3 linked regions of the Tamandua tetradactyla genome follow. The protein of the gene in region 2 purifies or fractionates together with the protein of the main gene of each other region. This does not show direct contact. Links are inferred from orthologs where the notes say so. Each region holds a gene or a part of one and is shown on either strand. Other genes may lie near its edges.

The links.
Region 1: the proteins of TRIM27 (region 2) and MAGEL2 purify together in Homo sapiens (affinity purification with western blotting; 3 studies listed by BioGRID and IntAct, with this or other methods). This does not show direct contact. The link is inferred for Tamandua tetradactyla from reciprocal best matches to the Homo sapiens genes TRIM27 and MAGEL2.
Region 3: the proteins of TRIM27 (region 2) and KPNA1 purify together in Homo sapiens (co-immunoprecipitation; 3 studies listed by BioGRID and IntAct, with this or other methods). This does not show direct contact. The link is inferred for Tamandua tetradactyla from reciprocal best matches to the Homo sapiens genes TRIM27 and KPNA1.

Annotation. Positions count from the first base shown.
Region 1 is NC_135338.1:79,416,006-79,422,957, forward strand, and holds the start of MAGEL2 (MAGE-like protein 2), read left to right. Parts: upstream 1-3,867; 5' UTR 3,868-4,037; coding exon 4,038-6,952. UniProt on the Homo sapiens protein: Probably enhances ubiquitin ligase activity of RING-type zinc finger-containing E3 ubiquitin-protein ligases, possibly through recruitment and/or stabilization of the Ubl-conjugating enzyme (E2) at the E3:substrate complex.
Region 2 is NC_135331.1:193,511,220-193,518,706, forward strand, and holds the start of TRIM27 (zinc finger protein RFP), read left to right. Parts: upstream 1-4,440; 5' UTR 4,441-4,479; coding exon 4,480-4,899; intron 4,900-6,049; coding exon 6,050-6,145; intron 6,146-7,487. UniProt on the Homo sapiens protein: E3 ubiquitin-protein ligase that mediates ubiquitination of various substrates and thereby plays a role in diffent processes including proliferation, innate immunity, apoptosis, immune response or autophagy.
Region 3 is NC_135336.1:22,987,048-22,994,830, forward strand, and holds the start of KPNA1 (importin subunit alpha-5), read left to right. Parts: upstream 1-4,697; 5' UTR 4,698-4,885; intron 4,886-7,783. UniProt on the Homo sapiens protein: Functions in nuclear protein import as an adapter protein for nuclear receptor KPNB1. Binds specifically and directly to substrates containing either a simple or bipartite NLS motif.

The sequences.
Region 1 (6,952 bases), on a different chromosome or scaffold from region 2:
CAGCTTTAGCAAACCGAAACAGAAGCCAAGTATATAAATAATATGCACAGTACTTATTCCATTTATATGAACTTTAAGAAATGGCAAAATTAATCATGGCAAGAGAAATCAGAATGTTAGCCTTTGGGAAGCAGAGGAATTAACTGGAAAAGGGCATGATGGAAGATTCTTTGATAAAGTAAATATTCTTTATCTTGTTTTGGTATAGGCTCGTGGGGTCACAAAGCTAAACAAACAGAACAGTTGAGATCTGTGCATTTTACTGGTGTTAATTATTCTTAAAATAAAAATAGGTTTAAGCGGTATTGGTATAATTGTTAATAATGCTGGTTTTGGGAAAAATAGACCAGACTTCCAATAAAGGTTGCTGTATATTGCCAGATCTTAACCTCTTGAGGTTCAATCTCCTCATGTATAAAATGGGCTCAAACTCATGTGGTTTTTGTGAAGAATCAATAAACATAATATACAAAGCTCTTAGGGTAGGATTTTATCACATAGTAAGCATTCAATAAAGAATAGCTATACTATTTTAGTGAGCTCCTTACAAATCTTCTTTTGAATGTCTGTACTCTTGATATGACCTATGCTTTTTTCTTTTAATGATCTTCCTGCCTTTCCAACTTGTCTATTTGGAGAACAACCATGAATATTTCACAGCTTCTGATTCATTTGTTTTCATTTTCTTTGCCACAGCCAGCATCCCAATCCCCCACACTTCAAGAAGAAGTGAGTACTCAGTTGTTTGCATCATCTATGACCAATATGAATTTTTAGTATTGCAACAATATTTTACTGCACTAAAGCATATAAATATCCCTAAATGAGTATGAGACTCTGTGACACATTTTTCTCTGTAGCTCTGCACATAGCATAGAACTGGCTACATGGTGAAGGCTTAATAAAGTGTGTTTCATAAATGATCCTGGAGTTTGTGAAAATGCTAACTGATTATTTATCTGGAAATAACACCAAGTTTAACAGCTAAAGCAGAGAAAAAAATATGCACTTCCGGCGCTAATGTTACACTTTCATTCAGCGTATCCTTACTGACTGCTCAAATGAGCTGGGATACAAGAATAAACAAATAAGCCCAGCTTCTATAGTAGTTGTCTTGTTGCGGCAAGCCGGAACAAAAAGTATACAGATTCTATATAAACTTGGGACAAAAATTTTTTATCCTTAGGTTCCCTTCCCCCAATATTATCAATGACTTATTTTAACCTTTCATTATATATTTATGAAAGACCTGCAAATCTTTTCTAACTAGACCAATATTCAGTGGATGTTTTGAATTTGTGATCTTCTTCTTGTCACCTTGAGTTTTCAAGCTGTTTCATGGAGAAGCAAGTAAAAGAAAATTTGACACCTGGTTGAGATGTACTGAGGAGGCTTTAGTAAGCCAGAAGACACCACAACAAGAAGGGAATTTTTGGAAACCTATTTATGGTTGTGGTCTAAATTCCCCACTGGTCCCAAGGCAGATTTGGATTTTGCTGCTATTAGGGCAATCAGTTTTCACAGAGGAGCTATATTTCCCTTAGTTCCTCAGGTATATTTTATGTTCAGGGTAGATATATTTTGGGTCACTAGATTGAGACAATCATTTTAGCAAACTGTTTCTCAAAATAGGCAGATATGTTTACCAGGGGGAACATAAACTCAATTTACCTCTTTTACTGTTTTGAACAGAATCACTGGATCTTATGTCCCAAATTTTCTCTCCTATTTAAAGAATGTTACCAAGGAGTTGCAAAGGGGCTGTTGGATGACTTGATTACCTTCCATCTGTAATGATGCCTACACGGTTTTTCCCCCTTCACGATGCCAGTTACTAACTTTTTGGCTGCTTAATGCAGCATTCAGCTCCAAAATCAGTGAGGAGAACCAAGCCCTAAAGGCAACATTTATTGTGCGGAATGACCCACAGCATGGGTGTCTGAGAGGCAATACTTTCATAATCCTGAAAAGGACGGAATTACTGGAATAACTCAATCTTTGATGAGTTTATACTTTTGAATTAGAGGAAGAAACGGTACATTTAACGAGAGTACAAATATCATAGGCTGCAAAATGGGTTGACTTCCAGAAGCCATCCACAGTCAGAAACTTTCACGTGGCAGAGTTGGCGTAGGGGAACATAAGGGTTATGTGTGTAAGTTGTCCCTTCTGAAGTATTTCTAAACCCCATGAAATGGTGAAGTCCTATATGACTGTGTCATGTTAGCACAAGGGAGAGACCTAGGAACTGCAAACATAGCAGCCTCCACTCAGTAGAATTAGCTTTCTGCATGCCAGACCATGCGTCCAAGTAGTGAATGGCCTTCTCTGGATATACACAGCAGTGACATATCACCAGACACCCAGAATGAGCTGTGTGTCTTGGAGAAAAAAAATGTTCCTAGGGGATAACAACCCTGGATTCTCATTCCTTCAATACCCCAAAAGTCACCAGAATCCCTCCCCCCACACCTTTTCTTCTCTCAATTAAGGCAATATAGAACCTTGATAGTATTTAAATGCCTTCTCTGGGGGTATGTAAATTACCCCAGATTTGAGGAACACTGGTTAAGGAAGATTCCTTAGGAGGATCGGCAAATGGCCTTCATCATCCTTTTCTGCCCCCTTGTGGCATCTTCCATGCTTTTTATCACTGGAATCTTCCCCTAGGCTGTGAACAGCCTCTTCGAAATCAAACATCCTTGATATGTGGTGTATTTCCAGAAAGTTGCCCGAATAAACTGACTGTCTCTTCTTTTCAGCCTAAAACAGAATAGGGCTATCAAATAATCTTGATATGTTCTGGGGCATCATCTGTCCTATTTTTAAACTTATTTTTTCATCAGTAGATTTCCCAGAAATTTTGTATTTTGTTCATCTGTTTTTCCTATATAGCGATCTTGGATTATTTTTCACCCATTTTATTATTTTCTAGTACATTTTTTGTTTTCCTTATCACAATTTCTTTCCTTCTCTGCAACTGATGGACAAAACAAAACAAAACTCTATTCCCTCATTTCAGCCATCCCAAAGGAAGTTTTCCTCATAGTAAAATGCTCTCTTCCATTGATTTCTGGCATGTCTTACTTTCTGGGATTTCTTTTTTTCACTCTCTACTCCTTGTGATCCTTTTTTCTCTGAATGTCTCTAAAAGGCTTGTATTCGTAAAGATACTTTCAGGAGCTCCTTGGTGTCCTGTACCTTTCACTCAATACTCTTCGGTAAACACATTTTTTTTTTCCCCCACAGCTTTAATCTCATAATGAGTACTGGACCTTGACTTCTACTTCGGACGTCTTCTGAACCCCAAGCTGTTACAGGAGAGTGTCTACAGGGCATCTCTCCTTGGCAGTCCCACTGCACAGCAAATGCCCTACGTCCGAATCAAAACTATTCATCATCTCTTCATGTGCCTCCCACTGTGTCCCTAAGAGAGGAAATGGCACCAACAACTTCCACTTCCCCAGGACAGAAATATGTGTGCCTTCTCCATCTCTTTTACTCTTAAGTCAAATTGTAATAGCTATGTATTACACCTCCTAAATCTCTCCTACATACACACACTTCTTTCATCCTCCAACTCCTATCTGAGCTCAGACCACACCATCTTTCCCTTCTGGATGCCTTACATGCCGGTGGTCTGTCTCCCCTCCATAATGCACAACAGTGATTCTTCCAAAACCTATATCTGTTCCTGTCACTCCCTTGTGAAAACCCATGCATGAAGAGTCTGAGCAGGCTGCATTTGGGGACTGGACAGAGTGAGAAGGGATCTTGTGTCAGCCAGGACTTCTGGTAGACGCCCCTATGCTCTATCCACTTGTGGTGGTCGGGGGCGGGGAAGGGGGCGGGATTGAGCCCCCTTCACCCCTCCTCCTTACTGCGGAAAGCTGCAGAGCTAGCAGCACTCACTTCCTATTCAGCATTCAGCGGGGAGGGAGCCTCTGAGCAGCCACGTAGGCATTCTCTTCTCTCTGGAGGAAAAGGCCCAGCAGCTGTCGGAGGAAAAGGCCCACCAGCTGTCAGAGCAAAGGGACATGTCGCAGCTAAGTAAGAATCTGGGTGATTCGAGTCCCCCGGCGGAGGCCCCCAAGCCTCCGGTCTATAGCCGCCCTACGGTTCTGATGCGGGCCCCGCCCGCCTCTTCTCGGGCTCCACCAGTCCCTTGGGATCCACCTCCGATTGACTTGCAGGCTTCACTGGCCGCTTGGCAGGCACCTCAGCCTGCCTGGGAGGGCCCGCAGGGGCAACCGCCTGCCCCAGTGGCTGCACTGGCCCAGCCTCCGAACCTAGGGGGCCCAATGGTCCAGGGTCCACCTCTGGGAGGCCCGATGGGCAAGCCTCCGACTCCCGGAGTCCTGATGGTCCATCCTCCTCCTCCTGGAGCCCCGATGGCTCAGCCTCCTGCTCCGGGAGTACTGATGGTCCATCCTTCGGCTGCGGGAACCCCCATGGCCCATCCTCCTCCTCCGGGGACTCCAATGGCCCACCCTCCCCCTCCAGGGACCCCAATGGTACACCCACCCCCTCCGGGGACCCCAATGGTGCACCCTCCCCCTCCGGGGACCCCGATGGCCCATCCTCCCCCTCCGGGGACACCGATGGCCCATCCTCCCCCTCCGGGGACACCGATGGCTCACCCTCCCCCTCCGGGGACACCGATGGCCCATCCTCCCCCTTCGGGGACACCGATGGCCCAGCCTCCAGCTCCTGGAGTCCTGATGGCACAGCCTTTGACGCCGGGAGTACTGATGGTCCAGCCTCCTCCTCCTCCGGGAGCCCTGATGGCCCAGCCGCCTCCTCCGGTAGCCCCGATGGCCAAGCCTCCAGGTCCCGGCGTGCTAATGATCCATCCTCCAGGTTCGAGAGCACCGATCACCCAAGCTTCAGCTTCGGGAGCCCCGATGGCACAGCCGGCGGCCCCACCTGCGCAGCCTCTGGCATCCTGGGCTCCACAGGCTCAGCCTCTGATCCTGCAAATCCAGTCTCAGGTTATAAGGGCTCCTCCGCAGGTTCCCCAGGGTCCGCAGGCCCCGCAGGCGCAGCTGGCCACACCACCAGGCTGGCAGGCCACCTCGCCGGGGTGGCAGGCCCCACCACAAGGCTGGCAAGCCACGCCTCTGGCATGGCAGGCCACACAGGTCACCTGGCAGGGCCCGACAATCGCCTGGCAGGCCCCGCCGCCCGTACGCCAGGGTCCGCCGCCCATCCGACCCGGCCCGCCGCCCATCCGACCTGGCCCGCCGCCGGTGCGCCAGGCCCCGCCTCCGATCCGCCAGGCCCCGCCGCTGATCCGCCAGGCGCCGCCGCCTATCCGGCCAGCCCCGCAGGTCCTGGCCACCCCGCCGCCGCTCTGGCAGGCCCTGCCGCCCCCGCCGCCCCTGCGCCAGGCGCCGCAGGCTCGGCTGCCCACGCCGCAGGTGCAGTCGGCCCCGCAGGTGCAGTCGGCCCCGCAGGTGCAGGCGGTCCCGCAGGTGCAGGCGGTCCCGCAGGTGCAGGCGGTCCCTCCGGCAGCACAGGTGTCCGCGAGGGCTCCCGCGGGTCCGCAGACGCCCCAGGTCCCGCCGCGGGCCCCGCAGGCCGCACACTGCCCGCCCATCATCTGGCAGGCCCCCAAAGGCCAAGCCCCGGTGCCGCACGAGCTGCCGACGTCGATGGAGTTCCAGGAGGCGCAGCAGGCCCAAGCCCTCGCCTGGCAGGTCCCGAAGGGTCCAGGGCACTACTGGCAACCCCTACCCGCGCAGGAGGCCCAGCGACAGGGCCCTCCGCTGGTCCAACTGGAGCCGCCCTTTCAGGGGGCCCCGCCTTCCCAGAAGGCCCTGCAAATCCAGCTACCCGCCCAGCAGGCCCAGCCCTCGGTCCCGCAAGCGGAGCTGCCCGCGTTGCAGCTCCAGCCCTCCTGGCAAGCCCCACACGGGGCCCTCCAGGCCCAGCCCGCAGCTTCCCTAGCGGCGGCAAATTTTCACGTGGGTTCCGCTAAATCACTGATGACTCCCCCATCAGGTGAATCCAGGGCCTCTTCGATAGAACGTAGGGGTTCCTCAAAGGAACGCAGGACCTCTTCCAAGGAGCGCAAGGCTCCTTCTAAGGACCGCATGATCTTTGCTGCCACTTTTTGTGCTCCACGGGTAGCGTCTGCTACCCGGGCACACCTGCCAACTGCCTGGAAAAACTTGCCTGTCACATCGGAGACTTTTACTGCCACCTCAAGGGTCTTTCCCGCTACCTCCCAGGTCCAGCTTGCCTCGTCTAATGCCTTTAAGGGTCCGTCTGCCACCTCAAAGACGCCGAAGTCACTGCCACTTGCTCTGCAGGATCCATTTGCCTGCGCTGAGGCCCTGCCTGCGGTCTGCTGGGATCCACAGCCCACCTCCCATGCCTCACAGGCATCAAAGGCAGCATCCACCATCCTGATGGCTACAGCAGCTGCCCCCCAGGCAACGGCCACCACTGAGGGGATCTCGAAGACCACCGAGGAGCGTCGCCCTGGCAAAGTCACACGGAAGAAGAAGCATCTGGATGGGGGAAAGGACAGCAGGGGCCAGTTGTTGGCCCTGCATGATTGGCAGGCCCCGAGGCCCTGGGAAAATCTAAACTTGAGTGACTGGGAGGGTCGAAACCCCACCCATGTCCTAGGTGACTGGGAAGCCCCATGCAATTCCCGTGGCCTGAATGGCTGGGAGGGCCCAAGTACCTCCAGGATCCTGAGTGGCTGGGAAGGGCCGGGCACATCCTGGGCTCTGAGTGCCTGGGAGTGCCCAAGCACTGTGAGGGCCCTTAATCTCTGGGAAAGCCCAGGGAGCCCTGAGCGTATGATCATTTCTGAAGCCCCAAATCTCTCTCAGGGGCACACCCAGGATGAGCCCAAGATGGAGAGTCAGCCATTGTCTCCCTTGGATGAGAGAGCAAATGCATTGGTGCAGTTTCTCTTGGTCAAGGACCAAGCCAAGGT
Region 2 (7,487 bases):
GCCTGCTGCAATGAATGTTTGATTTAATTGGTTGGTGCTTAAATGAGAGAGCTCAACTAGCACAGCCCAAGCAGCTCAGCATACCTCATCTCAGCACTCTCAGCCCAGGCCTTTGGAGATGCCGAAAGGAATCACCCAGGGGAAAGTTGTTGGAACCCGGAGGCCTGGAGAGAAGGCCAGCAGAGACCATCCTGTGCCTTCCCACCTAAGAAAGAACCTCAGTGGAAAGTTAGCTGCCTTTCCTCTGAAGAACTAACAAAATAAATCCCTTTATTAAAAGCCAATCTGTCTCTGGTGTGTTGCATTCCGGCAGCTAGCAAAGTAGAACAGTGTATTTTATCTTTTGTGAGTTGTCCATTTATCCTTTGCTCATTTTTATATTGGAATATTAATGAGCTTCCATATTGATTTATAAAACTCTTTATAAAGATATTAATCTTTGTCTCGCTCTTTAAAAAAAAAGGCCATTTCTTTACTCAATCAAAACCATTAAAGTTCCTTGAGGAAATAAAACTTTTCTTTATACTAAACTTTAAGGTTTGAAATTTAAAATAGAATATCTATTTCCCTGAGCAAAAATCAGGAGTGCTTCAAATACTGGAGAGCTCATTTGTTTACCTTACTTTTCTAACTTAATTCATTTTGAATAGCTAAGGCATGCATGCATATGGTTTAAAATTCAAAAGATACCTAAGGTACACCAACTCCTCCCTCCCAAGCAGAATTGATTCCTATTCTCCCCTGAGAAATTCCACCATTGTTACTTTTTACCACTCCCACACCCTCAGCCATCTCTCCTTATCAATCAGAGAATGAAGCAAGGAAAAGCTGAAGCCTGAGAAATGTCTCCTGGATTTGGCCAATACTAACAGAAATCACTGACACCCTTGGGGTGGGTAGGTTGAGCAGAGATAGCAGGTAGGAATTTCATACTCATTTTTAAACAAAATATTTTATTAATAAAATAATATTTTATTTTTTCAGGTTTAGCTTTCATTGTATATGTATATTTCATTGTATATCTAAATAAGCAGCTTAAACAAGACAAGCAAGTGTTTTGCTTTATTTTGTCTTATGCACATGAAGTTTGGATGCAGGCACTCTACAGACAATAAGAATGTAAGTTCATTCCACTTGTGCTGCACTATCTCAGCACTGGCTTCCATCTTCAAGGTTGCCTCATGGTCCAAAATGGCTATTGTAGCTCCTACCATCATGTCACATTTCAGGCTGGAAGAAGTAGGAAGGGAGTGGGCATTAAAAAGGCATACTTCCCAGCTGAGTAGGCTTCCTTTTAAGGTGCTTTCTCAGAATTCCCACACAACTTCCACTTAGGTCCCCTAGTCACCCACAGGCTCAGGATGGCGTTAAAGCGGGAAGGAAGTGCTGGGTGAGCTGACGGTGCCCTCTGGCAAATTATCTGCACAGGATTTTATACTGTAGCATTGACTTCATGAATTTACCATGTTACTAGCAGTAAGAGAAAAATATCTTTTAACTGGGCATATGGCTATACAGAGAAAGAAAAATTAAGGAAGGAGTGGAAATTAGCTATTGAATAGTCATCAACTGTCCCGTTCATTTTGTGTCAAGATTGAAAAACACTTTTTAAATAAAGAGCTGTACCAGAAGCCCCACACTGGAGGCCAGGAGGCCAATTTCACCTTGCAGGCATGATTTTTAAATTTTTAGTAAGTTGCCAAACACTTAAGTCTGTAAATTTCACATGAAAGTCTAGATTTCTGCTTTCTCTTGGGAAAAAAACTAAACATTTAGCAGTATGCTGGACGGCATCCTCGGTGGCCGTAACTGGCAAGGGACAGGGCTACATTCCCAGGGACCGCTGTCCTCCATTTAGACAATGTCCCCAGCTTTCCCTATTTTGTCCCCGACCTGACCTGCTCATTTAAGTTATCTTCTTACTTCCAAAGCGCGTTTGAGTTTGCACCTGTCACTTCATAACTGAACAAATAACGTTCACAACGATGAGATGTATGCCAAAAGTATGATAGTGGAAGCATTAAATTAATGGCTAGTCTCATTATTTTGACTGTTCACTGTTCCTTCATCTAAGCATTTAAGCACATTCAATGTGTTAGGAATGCCTTTCAGGAAGACGGGGCACAGCCCTTTCTCAAGTGTCCTCACCTGCCCGAGGCAGGGACCCGAGCAGTGAGTTGAATTCGCCAGCCCCGCCCTAGCCCCACCCAACACACTTCACGTGTGTGTGCACATGCCAACCTTCCAGGGCTCCTTGGAGCCTGGCCCAACGTCCAAACTGCACTGTCCTAAAAGAGACAAAGTTGACTCAGGTGTGGCCGAGGCCTGGTGGCCACTTTTCAGGCATCCTGGCGTTCTGCGCATTCAAGAAACAATGGAGCTGACAGGGATTACCAAGTGGAACTCTTCCCTTTCCCTCTTCTCTGACCCCACCCCAGCTCCTCAAGGATTTTATTCCATCTTTTCTCACCATCACCCACTGCTGGGGATTTTAAGGAGTTACACTGGAAATTCTGGAAAACAAAAACAGCAGCGAGGCATCCCTGAGATAAGGAGATGGTGGGCAGCCTCAGCTACTTATCTCCATCTCTCATATTTGTACATTGAGTCACAATGTTTATTACTCCTTTGTGAGTAAACCCGAGAAGCATCCTTCAGTTCCTCCAAATGTCAATTTTTGACCCAATTTCAAAGAAAGACCAGAATCTGAGACTCTGTGATGTGGGCTAGTCCAAGCACCCCATATTTTTCTGGAATTGGGTTGGGGTTATTTGGGCCAGGAACTAGAGTTCTGTAGTCAGAGTGTGGTTTGGGGGTGGGGGGTGAACTTGGGTTTGGCAAGTTCACTTAGCTCGGCAGACCTCCTGCCCACCAGGGGAGGCCAGGGCAGAATCCTGGAAAGCAAAGGGGGAAGCAGACGCCCCTCTTGCTTATGTACAGTCTGCCAATACTGAGAAAATTCCAAAGAAAATTAGGAAATACAAGGCAGGGATGAGAGGGTAACACAACATAACTCTAAGTCCACTGGCTGATGGAAAGAGAATGGATGGTGAGCTACTCCAGGGCGGTGAGCTACTTCAGAACCGTGAGCTACTTCAGAACCGTGAGTTACTCCAGGGCCGTGAGCTACTCCAGGGTGGGCTGCCGCAGGCTTCCCCGTGTCCCGGGCTTTGGTAAGGAGCAGACACTTTTTCCGCCCTACTCAACACAACCACTCTATTTCAGTGGATAAATATCCTACGGTTATCAAAAGAAAAAAGAGGTATAATGAAGTCTCCCCTCTCGCCAGCGTACTCGTCATGCCCATCTCACCAGAGGGAACTCGGGATCTGAAGGGCAAACAGACTTGCTTGGGCACAGAAGGGAAGGAGAGCTGGGCTTGTGTGACTCGTCTCTGCCCTTCGGAAATGCTCGCCGGAGAGAAAAAAACAAAATAAAGCTTCCTGCGGTAAAGACGTTGAAAACGGAGCCAGGTTGCCCCTCTGCAGGTCTCACCCAGACCCACAAACTGCCCAAGGCGCAGCGCCACGAGCAGCAATGTCTGCGAACTCGAGGCCGTGCAGGCACCGCAAACAAGCCCCAAGGCCGGCTAAGGGAGGCCCCAAGGGAGGCAGGGAAGAGCGCCCCAAACGCCCCACGTGCAGCTCGCCTTCTCTTCTCTTCCTTAGGCCAAGACGGGACACGATCTGGGTGGAAACTTGATCCTGGGCTCCCTGAACTGCAACCCCAAGTAAAAGCCTCTACTGCCTTTCAGCTTAATTTGTTTCTTAGCAGACATACCTTACGATAGACTTTCCTTTTTTCTAACAAAGTCGCAAGGGCCTCCGAATGTGAATGGGGTGTTTCCACAGGGTGCACCACGTCGCGTGCCGAAGGGGGCCCGCAGGCAGCGCCCCCGACACAAAGGCGGCGTCCCTGCGCGGGCGGCGAAGGGGCACAAAGGCGGGCAGCCCCCGGGCCGGGCAGGCCGCCGCCGCGCCGAGAGGGCCAGGGCCTGCGCAGGGGCCGCTCCCTGCCGCGCCAGCCCCGCCCGGGCCGCAGCTCCGGGCCTCCGCGGCAGCGGGGCCGTAACAGTCGGCGGGCCGGGCGGGGGACGACGGGCCGGAACCGAGGCTGGCGGGGCCGCGCGCCCGCCGCAGGCCGCGGCCAGGCCCCGCCCCCGAGCCGCCCCTTCCGCCGGCGCCGGGCGGGGTCTCGGCGGCCCGGGATCCGCTCGGACGCGGCCACGTTGTCCTGCGCGCTCGGCGCGCGTCGCCCGGCCCGCTCCGTCCCCCCAACCCCCCCGCGAGCCCGCGCGGCGCCGCCAAGGCCAGTGGGGCCCACTCGGCGGGGCGGCGGCACGGAGCGGCCCGGCCGTCCAGGCCTCAGCGCGCGGGCGCCGCCCGTCCGGGGCCCCTCGGCTGCCCCCGCGCCGCCAGCCCGCGGGAGCGCAGCCCTCAGCGCGGGGCCCATGCCCGGGCGCCCCCGCGGGCGCGCGCCATGGCCTCCGGGAGCGTGGCCGAGTGCCTGCAGCAGGAGACCACCTGCCCCGTGTGCCTGCAGTACTTCGCCGAGCCCATGATGCTCGACTGCGGCCACAACATCTGTTGCGCGTGCCTCGCGCGCTGCTGGGGCGCCGCCGAGACCAATGTGTCGTGTCCGCAGTGCCGGGAGACCTTCCCGCAGCGGCACATGCGGCCCAACCGGCACCTGGCCAACGTGACCCAGCTGGTGCGGCAGTTGCGCTCCGAGCGGCCGTCGGGGCCCGGCGGCGAGATGGGCGGGTGCGAGAAGCACCGCGAGCCGCTGAAACTGTACTGCGAGCAGGACCAGACACCCATCTGCGTGGTGTGCGACCGCTCGCGCGAGCACCGCGGCCACAGCGTGCTGCCGCTCGAGGAGGCGGTGGACGGCTTCAAGGTGAGCGCCCAGCGCGCCGGCGGGGGGCTCGGGACCTGGCTGGACAAAGGGACGCGGGCGCCCGGGGGCTTCCCTTTCATTCCGCCCAGAAAATGGCCGAGCCGGACGCGTGCTTCCCAGCCGTCATTTCCTCCCTGTCCGCTCTGAGCCTCCGCGCCCGGCTTTAGGAGGAAAACCTGTGGCTGCGAGGGAGCCAGAGGCCCCCCAGCCCGCCCCTTCCCCCGTGGCCTGCATGGAAGGCTTGGGGGAGACCGTCCGCACAAAGACAGCCGCGCGGGCCCCACCCTGGCAGTGCCAGGTGTGCGTGCGCCCGCGCCCCCCGGCCCGCGCATCCGCGCGCCCCCGGCCCCCGCCCCGCGCACCCTGCCCTCCCGGGTGATTTCCGCGAAATCCACGCAGACGCTGGCTGGCTGCGCACACACCGAGCTCTGTCAGCATTTCCTCTCCACCGAAAGGAACACGGCTCCTGACTGCTCGAGCAGGTCATTTAACATTTCTGAGACTCGTGGAGAATAACAGCACAATTTTCATGAAGATTAAGTGAAATGGTGGGGGTGGGGGTGGGGGTGGGGGTGGGGGTGGCCTTTGCCAACTGTTGAGCCAACAGACTCACACAGCTAAACCTTAACAAGGAAACGAAGCGTTACACTTCAAACGGTGGTAAGGTAGCATTCAAGGACTGCAGGCTGCTGTGGCGTCTTCTCTACATATGAGGGATGCAGCAACACACTTGCAATTATGCATTTTAAAATGTGAGTCTGTCACTTCATGCATGATCAGTCACTTAACGTCTATGGTGTTTTCACCTAAATTAATTCACTTGGGCTCAGAACCCTTGAGTAGGTGGGAAGGTGAATTCACCCCTGCTGCACCTTCTCACCTGTGGAAGTTACGCCTTGACTCCTTAGTCTAGCTGCATTTCCAGAGACCATGCAGTGTTCTTGAGGCAGGGGGAGACCCACTGTGTGAGACACAAAGTGACCAAGGAGCAGCGTGGTGGCGCTGGCCCCTGCGCCCTGCACTGAGGGTGGCCATGTTGTCCAAAGGCAGGCCCAGCACCAGGAGTGTGGGGTCCATCTGTGACAGAGCAGCGGCGCGGAGGTAAAGCACTGCCTCATCTTGTACTGCCCAACTGTCATGCTTTTCTCAGGAACAAATCCAGAACCAACTGGATCACCTAAAAAGAGTGAAAGACCTGAAGAAGAGGCGGAGGGCACAAGGGGAGCAGGCGCGAGCGGAACTCTTGGTGAGTGCTGCTCCAGCGCGCAGCTGACACTGCTTCTGCTGCCCACTGCTCTCCCCGCCAGGGTGTTGAGAGTTGTTAGATGCAGGTCAGGACAACCCCCAGGGCAGCTGGGAACTCCCCTGCACACCCAAAGGAAAACCAGATCCTTTCCCGCATTTGGGGAAAAGATTCTGGAGCCAGGGTCTGGAGAGTTGACCTGCTGTAGGTGTCAGCTGCTGGCTTCTGCAGAGGGCCACATGGGTGATTTTTCTCTGAGCTGCTGCCTTCACAGCTCCTCAGCCCTGAGCTTTGCTCTCTGTTGCCTTCTCTCCTTGCTCCCAGGGCTTGCCCAGTGGCTGATATGCTAGTTCCTGATTGGGGTATTTGTGGGTTTTGTTTTGAAAATTGAGGGGAAAAAAATAACTGCTGTTTTGTTTAAAAATAAATAAAAATATTACAAATCCCCTCCTAGTAGAGATATTTGCACCTGAAAAGTAAACTCTTGGACTAGTAGTGGATAGTCCCACTTGTGAATAATTTTGTCATCTTCTCCCATCAATAGGAATTTTGTCATCATCTTCCTGCAGTATTAAGTTTGTTGGCAGGAATTTTTCCCCCTTGCTGTGCTGGCACCGCGCATTGAGACCTCAGCTCCCCTGGCTTGAAAATAGGCCTGATGGGTGGAGAACCTTCTCAGTGGGCCTGGATGGACTCTGTCGGAATGAGCAGCCCAGTGTACCTGGGCGCAGGTCGTGGAGCACAGGCTTGGCGTCCAGGTCTGCCCCCTGGCACTCCTCCCACCCCTTGCGTCATGGGCAGAGCCATAACCTGCCAGGGCCTCAGTTTGCTGATCTGTGGAGCGTGTAGGCTGGACCCACTGATGGTTTGTAATCACGGCCAGTGGTGCCCAGCCCTCCCCCCCAAGCCCGTGAGCATTTCTGTGGCTGTCACAGCATCTCGGAAGGGGGCAAGGAGTGACGGTGTCCTGTGCCAGGCAGAATTGTCCCTACCACGGTTCCAATGGGCCCTCCTTCAAGAAGCACCATTGAGTTGATCTTTAGTGTCTATTTTAATTTTCTGTTGCTGAGATTATATTTTATAGTTTATGTCTTTGAATGACTTTCCAGCTGAGGAGAGGAGTGAGCTTGTGGAAAGGATTTATAAATGAGGGCGTGTGTGCATCACCGAGTTGCAGTGAGTGACTGAGAGGGAGAGTGGATGGGAGCACATCTCCTGAGAAGGGGTGTTTCAACCAGCTGTCAGCAAACTTTCTGTAAAAGGCCAGAGAGGAAGTACTTTAGGCTTTACAGGACGTACAGTCTCTGTCATGACCACCCAGCCTACCGTTGTAGCACAAAAATAG
Region 3 (7,783 bases), on a different chromosome or scaffold from region 2:
ATAGGCTACATTAATTTATAATTTATAGATGTAAAGGATCTGATTGACAAACATCGGGTTTGATAAAGCAAGCTTTTACATACAAAGTGGCTGAACATTTTGAAGAGCTGGAGACTAATTCCTTCAAGTTTATAAATCTGCTGTATAAGTAAGTAAAATCCTAAGTATTCTGTGTTCTAACACCTTTGTGGTGAGCATATTTAGCTTGCTGTCTTGACATCAGAATCAGTACAATGTAGCCATTAGAGAAGAGCTGCAAGTCAAAATTTTTCATTTGACTGTATTCAGTTTTACTGATACATAAAAGAAAATAATGATGTCCTAAAGGCTCTGAGCAGTTCAGAGAAGTATTAATGGAAAAGAAAACAGAAAGAGCAAAAATATCCCACTGCCTCATGGGATAGAAACATGCCATTGTTATTTTTTATTAAATATAGGTAATATCTGTTAAATTAGCTCTATTATATTTACACTCTTTTTAAAAGTATTACACTTATATATATTAAGAATACATAATAATATACCTACAAAATTTAAATAAGCAATAAAGAATTAAATTGCTATACAATAGGACAAACTATAAAAATTGTTATATTTTTGTCACATATATTATTTACTTAATTAGCCCTTCTAGTTACTACATTTAACTAGTCCTATTGCTATTTTTTAAATAGCATTCATATAGCAAAGTAGCACATAATTTAAAGGAAGCAACTATTTTTCATGTTTTTATGTTATAGTAATAACACAAATGTATTATTTATTCTGCCATCAGATTGGCAAAAATAAAAATAGACATTTGCTAGTGTCAGCAAGAATGTGTAGAAAAGACAATCATAGACAATCATATATTGCTTGTGGGAGTATAAATTGGTACAACCACACTGTGAAATAATCCAGCAATACCTAATGCATTTGTTTTCTACTGCTGTGTATCAAACTGCCACAAATTTAGTGGCTTAAACACATTTATTATTTCACAGTTTTTGTATATCAGAAGTCCATATGCAGCTTAGCTGAGTCCTCTGCTGAGGGTCCCTCAAGGTTGCAGTCAAAGTGATGGCTTGATTGTGTTTTCATCTGAAGGCTTGACCAGTGAAGAATCTGCTTTCAAGCGCTCAGGTTGTTTGCGGAACTCATTTCCTTGTGGTTGTATGAATGAGGTCTCCAGCTTCTTACTGGTTGCCAGCTGGAGGCTTCCCTGAGGACCCAGTGACCTGGGTCCCTGCTATGTGGTCTTCTCCATGGCAGTGCAGATTGTTTCTTTAAGGCCAGCAGGAAAGTCTCAAGCAATCTGCTAAGGCAAAGTGTTACACAGTGAAATGTAATCACAGGAGTGACATCCCATCATCTTTGTCTGGTTCTCACTCAAAACCTGAGGATTATAAAAGGCAACACCAGGAGCTGGAGTAATTGGGGACCACCTCAGAATTCTGTATAACACATCTAATAAAGTTAAAGACGTAATATTCTAGGATCTGGTACTTTCCTTGTACATAAGTAGGGATGTATAAGAATGTTCATAGCAGCATTATTTGTAATAGCAAAAGTGTTCTATAATTTTTCAGTTTCTCAAAATGCAAAAAGATATAGTACAAGAGATAGTAGTTTATGTAAGACCATATATGTATGATACTTTTGTAAAATTAAAATATATATAGAAATTCTTCTAGCAATAGCATACTGTTGTTTTGGACCAACACTGAGAATAACTGGACACAATATAAAAACATTAAGGTTTGTAAGGAAACAGGGGTCTAGATTGTAAGCTCTTATAGAAGTTACATTTAGTCTAGAGTGGTAATTACTATTTCTGGATTTTGAGAAGCTGTTTTATATATGTATAACCTGGTATTTAGAGATTAGAATGAAGCCGATCAGGTCAGGATTAAGGTAATTCAGAATACAGGGGTAAGGAAGACATTGTCTATACTTTAGAACCTCATCTACTCTTTGAGACCAAACGAAGAAAGGTTTATTTTGTCCAGAACCTAAATTTTCCGAAGCACATAATCTAACTCAACCTGTCTGGATAGATCATTTAAACAATCCAACAGAGGGAGCCCAGGATAAGAATGAGGGCCTTTAATCCTGTATAGCTTAATGTAATGCCTGGATACATCCCAGAGTATATTAAGCAGATGATCAAAAGTATTGGCAAAGTCCCCTGAGGGATGAGAGAAAAAATATGAAACTATTAAACTTTACCACCAGGAAAACCCCTGATACTGTGTCAAACAGTAGGGACACCCAAATCAATAGGCCAAGCCCTTGATCTTGAGGCTTGCTCTTGTGAAACTTATGTATGTAGTGGAGAAACTTAACCTATCTATAGGTATGCCTAAGAGTCACCTCCAAAGGTGTTTTGTTGCTTAGATGTGACCTTTCTCTCTCTAAGCCTAACTCTGCAAGTGAAATCATTGATCCCCCACCCTGCCCCCAAGTGGGACATGACATCCAGGGGTGAAAGTCTTCCTGCCAGCATGAGTCTGGCCGTGGTATTGTGGGATCAACAATGCCATCCTGACCAAAAAAGGGAAAAGAAGTGGAACAAATAAGGTATGAGTGGCTGAGAGAGTTCAAATAGTGACCTACTTCTGGAGGCCACTCTTATGCAAACTTCAGTTTAGACATTGCTGCCTACCATACCTTGCCAACCCCCAACCCAAAACATTCCAGCAATCCTAAAGAATACCTAGGGCATTATATAAGATTCTACAAAGCTTCCAAGCACTAGGGTAACTTTCCAGAAACCTACAACTTCCAGATAGGTCCCTGGACAAGATAAGTCCTGATATGCAGAGGGGCCAGCATCTCCAGAACATCAACTAGTTCCATCCCCCATCCCATATTATTGACAGCCCCTTCCAACATGAAAAAGTTAGAATGGGCATAGCCCAAATATCCCTAAGGAGTGGGAGATAGGTCAAAGGTGATGATGGAGTTATACAGAGGTCAGGTTTAACCAATGAGTATGATTGCTGAATTAAAATATTGTTATTTCTTTTAGTCTCCAGTATCTTAGAGCAGCTAGCAGTAAAAACCTAAAATTGCGATATTGTAACCCATACCACACTCTGAAATTTGTTCTACGACTAACTGTTGCAACGTACTTTGAAATTTATTGCTTTTTTGTTTATATGTTATTTTTCACAAAAAAAAAAAAAAAAAAGAAAGAAAAGGGGGTGGTTTCTTCTAGCTTCCAGTGTTTTGGAGCTGCTAGAAGGAAAAATCTGAAATAGTGGAATGGTAAACCATAACAAACACTGAAATTTGTTCTGTAACTACTTGTTGAAGCGTACTTTGAAAATCATTGCTTTTCTTTCGTTTGTATGCATGTTATATTAAAAAAAAAGTTTAAAAGAAAAAACATAAAGGCACTGAAAAGCTACTAATGTAAAAAATTGTGGGTCCAAAATCTGAAGTAAAGGGAAGTCATGAGAGGTGTGTCTGACATTTGCCACCTCTTTTCCACTTGATGTGCCTACTAATTTTGAAAGAAGTGACCAAAAAACTGAGTTTTGAGCTGTTTTAAAGAGGTGGGTATGTGGGGCCAAGGAGAGGCCCTGGTAATACCCCAGACGTTTGGTTGCAACACTTGGGAGCTATACCATAGCTGGGTGTAAGAGCGAACTGGAAATGAACTAGCCTTCACAAAGACTGAAGTCCACCTTTGAACAATCCAAGTATCTGACTGGAATAAGGTGATCTGCTCTTACCCTAGTTTGAGCAGGCATACAAATCCCTAAGTGTCTCCCATAGAACACGTTGTCTTGCCCCAGCTCCCTTGTTCAAACTTCAGTTCTTATCTACGTAAATATATTGTCAGTGGGAAGGCTCACGTGGCAGAGACAGATCCGGGAGATACGGACGTTGTCCTGGACATACGAACCGCAGATAGTGCAGGTTTCCCCAGTGCCCACCCTCTACCACTTATAAGTGTGCTAACCTACACCATCCATCTCTTTTCCTTAGTTTCTCGGCGTTTCCATAAAATTGATTTGATAAACCACGTCATCTGTGAGACTTTCTATTTCGTACCTCTGCTGAGGTGGCTTCATTTTTTCTTTTGGAGCCACTGCTTCCCCACATTTAACTAATAATTATTTGCCTCAAATTATCGCTTGAGAGTACTTAGTGAGAGTAAAACCAGTGTTTTGTTTCACTTAGTTTCTTAATTTAAAAAACAAATCATTTATTCATACATTATCAGGTAAAGAGGATGGAAGAGAATTAAAAATGGAATCCACAATTCCTGCAAACGTGCAGCAAGCGAACGCCTTCTTAGACGTGAGGCCACTCACTTTTAATATTTTTAAAATACTCCCCCGTGCTTCAATCATTCCATCATTCGTACAGTAAACATGTATTAGGTATCTACCATGTTGGAGGCTAGATATAAAGGAGTGAGTGGGGCTCTATCCGCCCTTCGAAGAGCTTAGTGAAGACAGGTTTGTAAACATGATTTTGCAATTCCGCGTAAGAAGTACCGTCTCACTGTCACTCTTCTACGATTCTCCAACCTTTTCCATTGACTACAAACCTCGTCCTCAGCGAGATCCTTCCCGGACCCCCAACTCCGTACTGATTCGGGACTAATGGCGTGGTGGGTCAAGTAAGATCTTAGGCAGACTACATCTCCCGGCAGCCTCTGCAGCGGTGGAAGTGGTGGGACCCGCGCAGGCGCGTGGGCTGGTCCCTTCACGCAAGCGCGCTGCGAACGCCGGCTGATCAGGGTCTTGCTCCTCGGTGCGCGGCGGCGGAGAGAGAGGCCTGGTGAGCACCGCTGAGGCGCGAGACCAGCTCCTCAGGGTTGCGCAGGAGAGGCACGGCCGGCGAGCGTGCGGCTCCACCACTGGCACCGGGATCGGTTGCCTTGAGCCTGGTGAGTGCGGGGACCCTGTAGTCCCGGCCCCTCCCCCTCCCGCAGGCGAACCCGGGCAGTTCTCGTAGGGACCCGGGTGAGGCCCGGGGACGAGGTCGGGCGCCGGCTGGGTCTCGAGCTCGGGTCTCTGAGGCCGGGCACTCCTGGCGTGTCCGTGCGTCACGAGCCCGGCTGTCCTAACGGCCGCGCGGCCGGCTGAGGGGAGGGTGGGGGTGGGGAGTGCTAGTGTGATCGCCGTCAGGAGCGCCGGTCGAGGCGGGGCGGCGCGGCCGCGGAGCTGGAAGCGGCACGGGGACTGCGGGGCGCAGAGTCAGCGGGGCGGGGAGTAGGCGCGCGCGGAGCTTGCGCCGCGGCTGGGCGCGAGCCGGCGAGGGGCGGGGGTGGGCGCCGCAGAGTACTGTGACAGAGGCAGGAAAGTGTCGGGGTGGCGTGTAAAAATCCTCACCGAGACAGGAAGGGACCATCTTGGGAATTCACAAGTTATAGCCGGAGCCGGAGGTTGGGGTGGGGTGAGCGGGACTGCAGTTTACAAATGTCATAACAACATGGGCCTGAAGCGGCTGACAGGGGTGTGGTAATTATAGGAATTACAGAACTTCGTGTGTTCATATCGTATGTAAGTGGTGAAACGGGGGAAACAGCGAAGTATAAGATTAAGCTCAGAATGTGAGGAGAAAACTGAGGGACGAGTGGAGTCGGGGAAGTTGTCATGTCACGAAGGAACGACTTAGGGTGGAGTGAATGTACTTAATGTTCCACTTATAAAGGAAAGGGTAAGGCTTAAACTTAGAAGCAATTGCAAAATATTTTTCTAAAAGTGTTAAATTGTATTAATAGCTTTTCATCCTTTAAAAAAAAAATTGACGGTTCCCCCAACCCCCTATTTCTTAGCAGTAGTTGTTTCAAGATTAATTCTTTACATTGTTCTTGCTTTTGTAATATTTTGAAAATAACCAGAAGTTGTTCCACCCTCCTCCCATTTTAAAGATTAAAGAGATAAAATTTTGTTTTTTTTTGTTTTCTTTCCCAGAGAAAAGTGCGAATGTGCTGTATTGGGCTTTTATTGAAAAAAAATTATTCTTGGAAGGTACTGATGATTTTAAGATGGAGGTCTTGAGAGAAAGTACAGGAATTAATATTTATTGAGCTTTTTTTTTTACATCTTTTATTTACATATTTAATGCTTATAATACCTTACATATTTTATTTACGTATTTAATGCTTGTAATAACTCTGAAATAGATGATATACTAACTTTTCCTATTTTACAGATGAAAACATTGTATGTCAGAGAAATTAACTTACTTAAGGTCAACCAGCTTTTGTTGGAACCAGTTTTACCACCCCAAATCACTGCCATTTTAAGACCTACCCCTCTGCTTACATACTTCTTGGTTGTGTTTTCTTTTTTTAATCCATTCAGCAAATACTATGGAGTGATTCTTTGCTCGGAGCTGGGGATATAGTCCTGATCAAGACATATTGTCCCTGTCCTCATTGCATTTACAGTGTAGCAGGGAAGACTAGCAATACAAATAATATCTGCATGACATATTATTAAATGGAAGCAGACAACATAAGCCTTGAGAAGCTTAGAGTCCAGCAGGGAAACAAAATATTACATTTGTAGAAACCTAGAATAAACCCAATGACAGAAATAAACCCATCACTTGAAATCATTATACTTTTTGCATTATGTTACTTTAGCTTCTTGTCAACATTTCTTCACAGAACTATTAATATTTTGCACCTTGATTTTTACCTAGGATTGGGTATATAAGAAGGGACAACACGGAAAAAATCTTGTTCCATTGCTGTCCAAGATACTGTTTCTAATTTACTTCTTATAAAATAGGGACCTTAGAGACAACATCTAAAGAGTGTAGTGCTAGGACTTTTTCTTTGTTTTAAGCAAATAACTGCTTTTTATTAGAGCATGATTGTTTTGTAAGTCATCCTGCTTCTTTTTATACTTTGGCTTTCAGGAGGCTCATCAGAGCTAACTTGTGTTCAGTTTTTGTAATTTTCCTTAGCCTCAACTATATTATAACTTACTTTATGCTAAATAGTCTAGAATTGTGCTCAGTTGTTTTGTTCTTTGTTCTCTTTTGCTCTTCCATATTTTATCTTTTCCCTTTCATTTCAAGATAAGAATTATCTTTTTGTCTCCAGCATTTTAGCAGTGTTGAATTAATGAAAAAATAAAGTCTTGATCATTTTTTGTGATGTCTCTGCCTTTGTAAGTCCATCAATTTTTTTTAAAAGAATATAAATACTGTGCAGTTATGACTTTTGGTTGGTCATGCAAATAAAGATTATTTAGTGAATTTAAAAATCTCTTGTAAAGAGAAAAAACCAAACAAACTAAAAAAATCTCATTTTCCTTTTTATTTTGTTGTAAGAGCTTTCTGTACTTTTTAGGGTATTATGAATTCAGCCATAAAAATGGAGAAAACATTGGAAAAGGTAAACAGTTAAATTAGCTGATTTGGGGCGATTTCACTCTTGTCTTGCTGCAGTGAGTAGGAGGTTGTCCTAAGTCATCTGGGTGGGAGTGGGGGCAGGATGGGGGTCAGAAAAAGCCTGCAATAGAAAATTTTGAGGTCAGTGAAAAAGCCTGGATAAAGTCTGATGGGATATACAGTTGTTGTTATTTCTAAGATAGTACAACCCTAGAAAACAAACCTAAGTGAAAAAATAGTTCTATTGTTGTAGACTAACTGGGACAGTTCTTGAAAGCAGCCAGTAATCCAGCATGTGGATGACGGGGATTATCTTCACATAACAAGAATAATGCTGCCCTTCGTGTACAAGAATAAGTCTGCTTATTCATCACATAAGATTCTAGTCTAAAAGTTATTTTTATTCAAAGTTTTGAAGTTATAGCACTGTTATTTT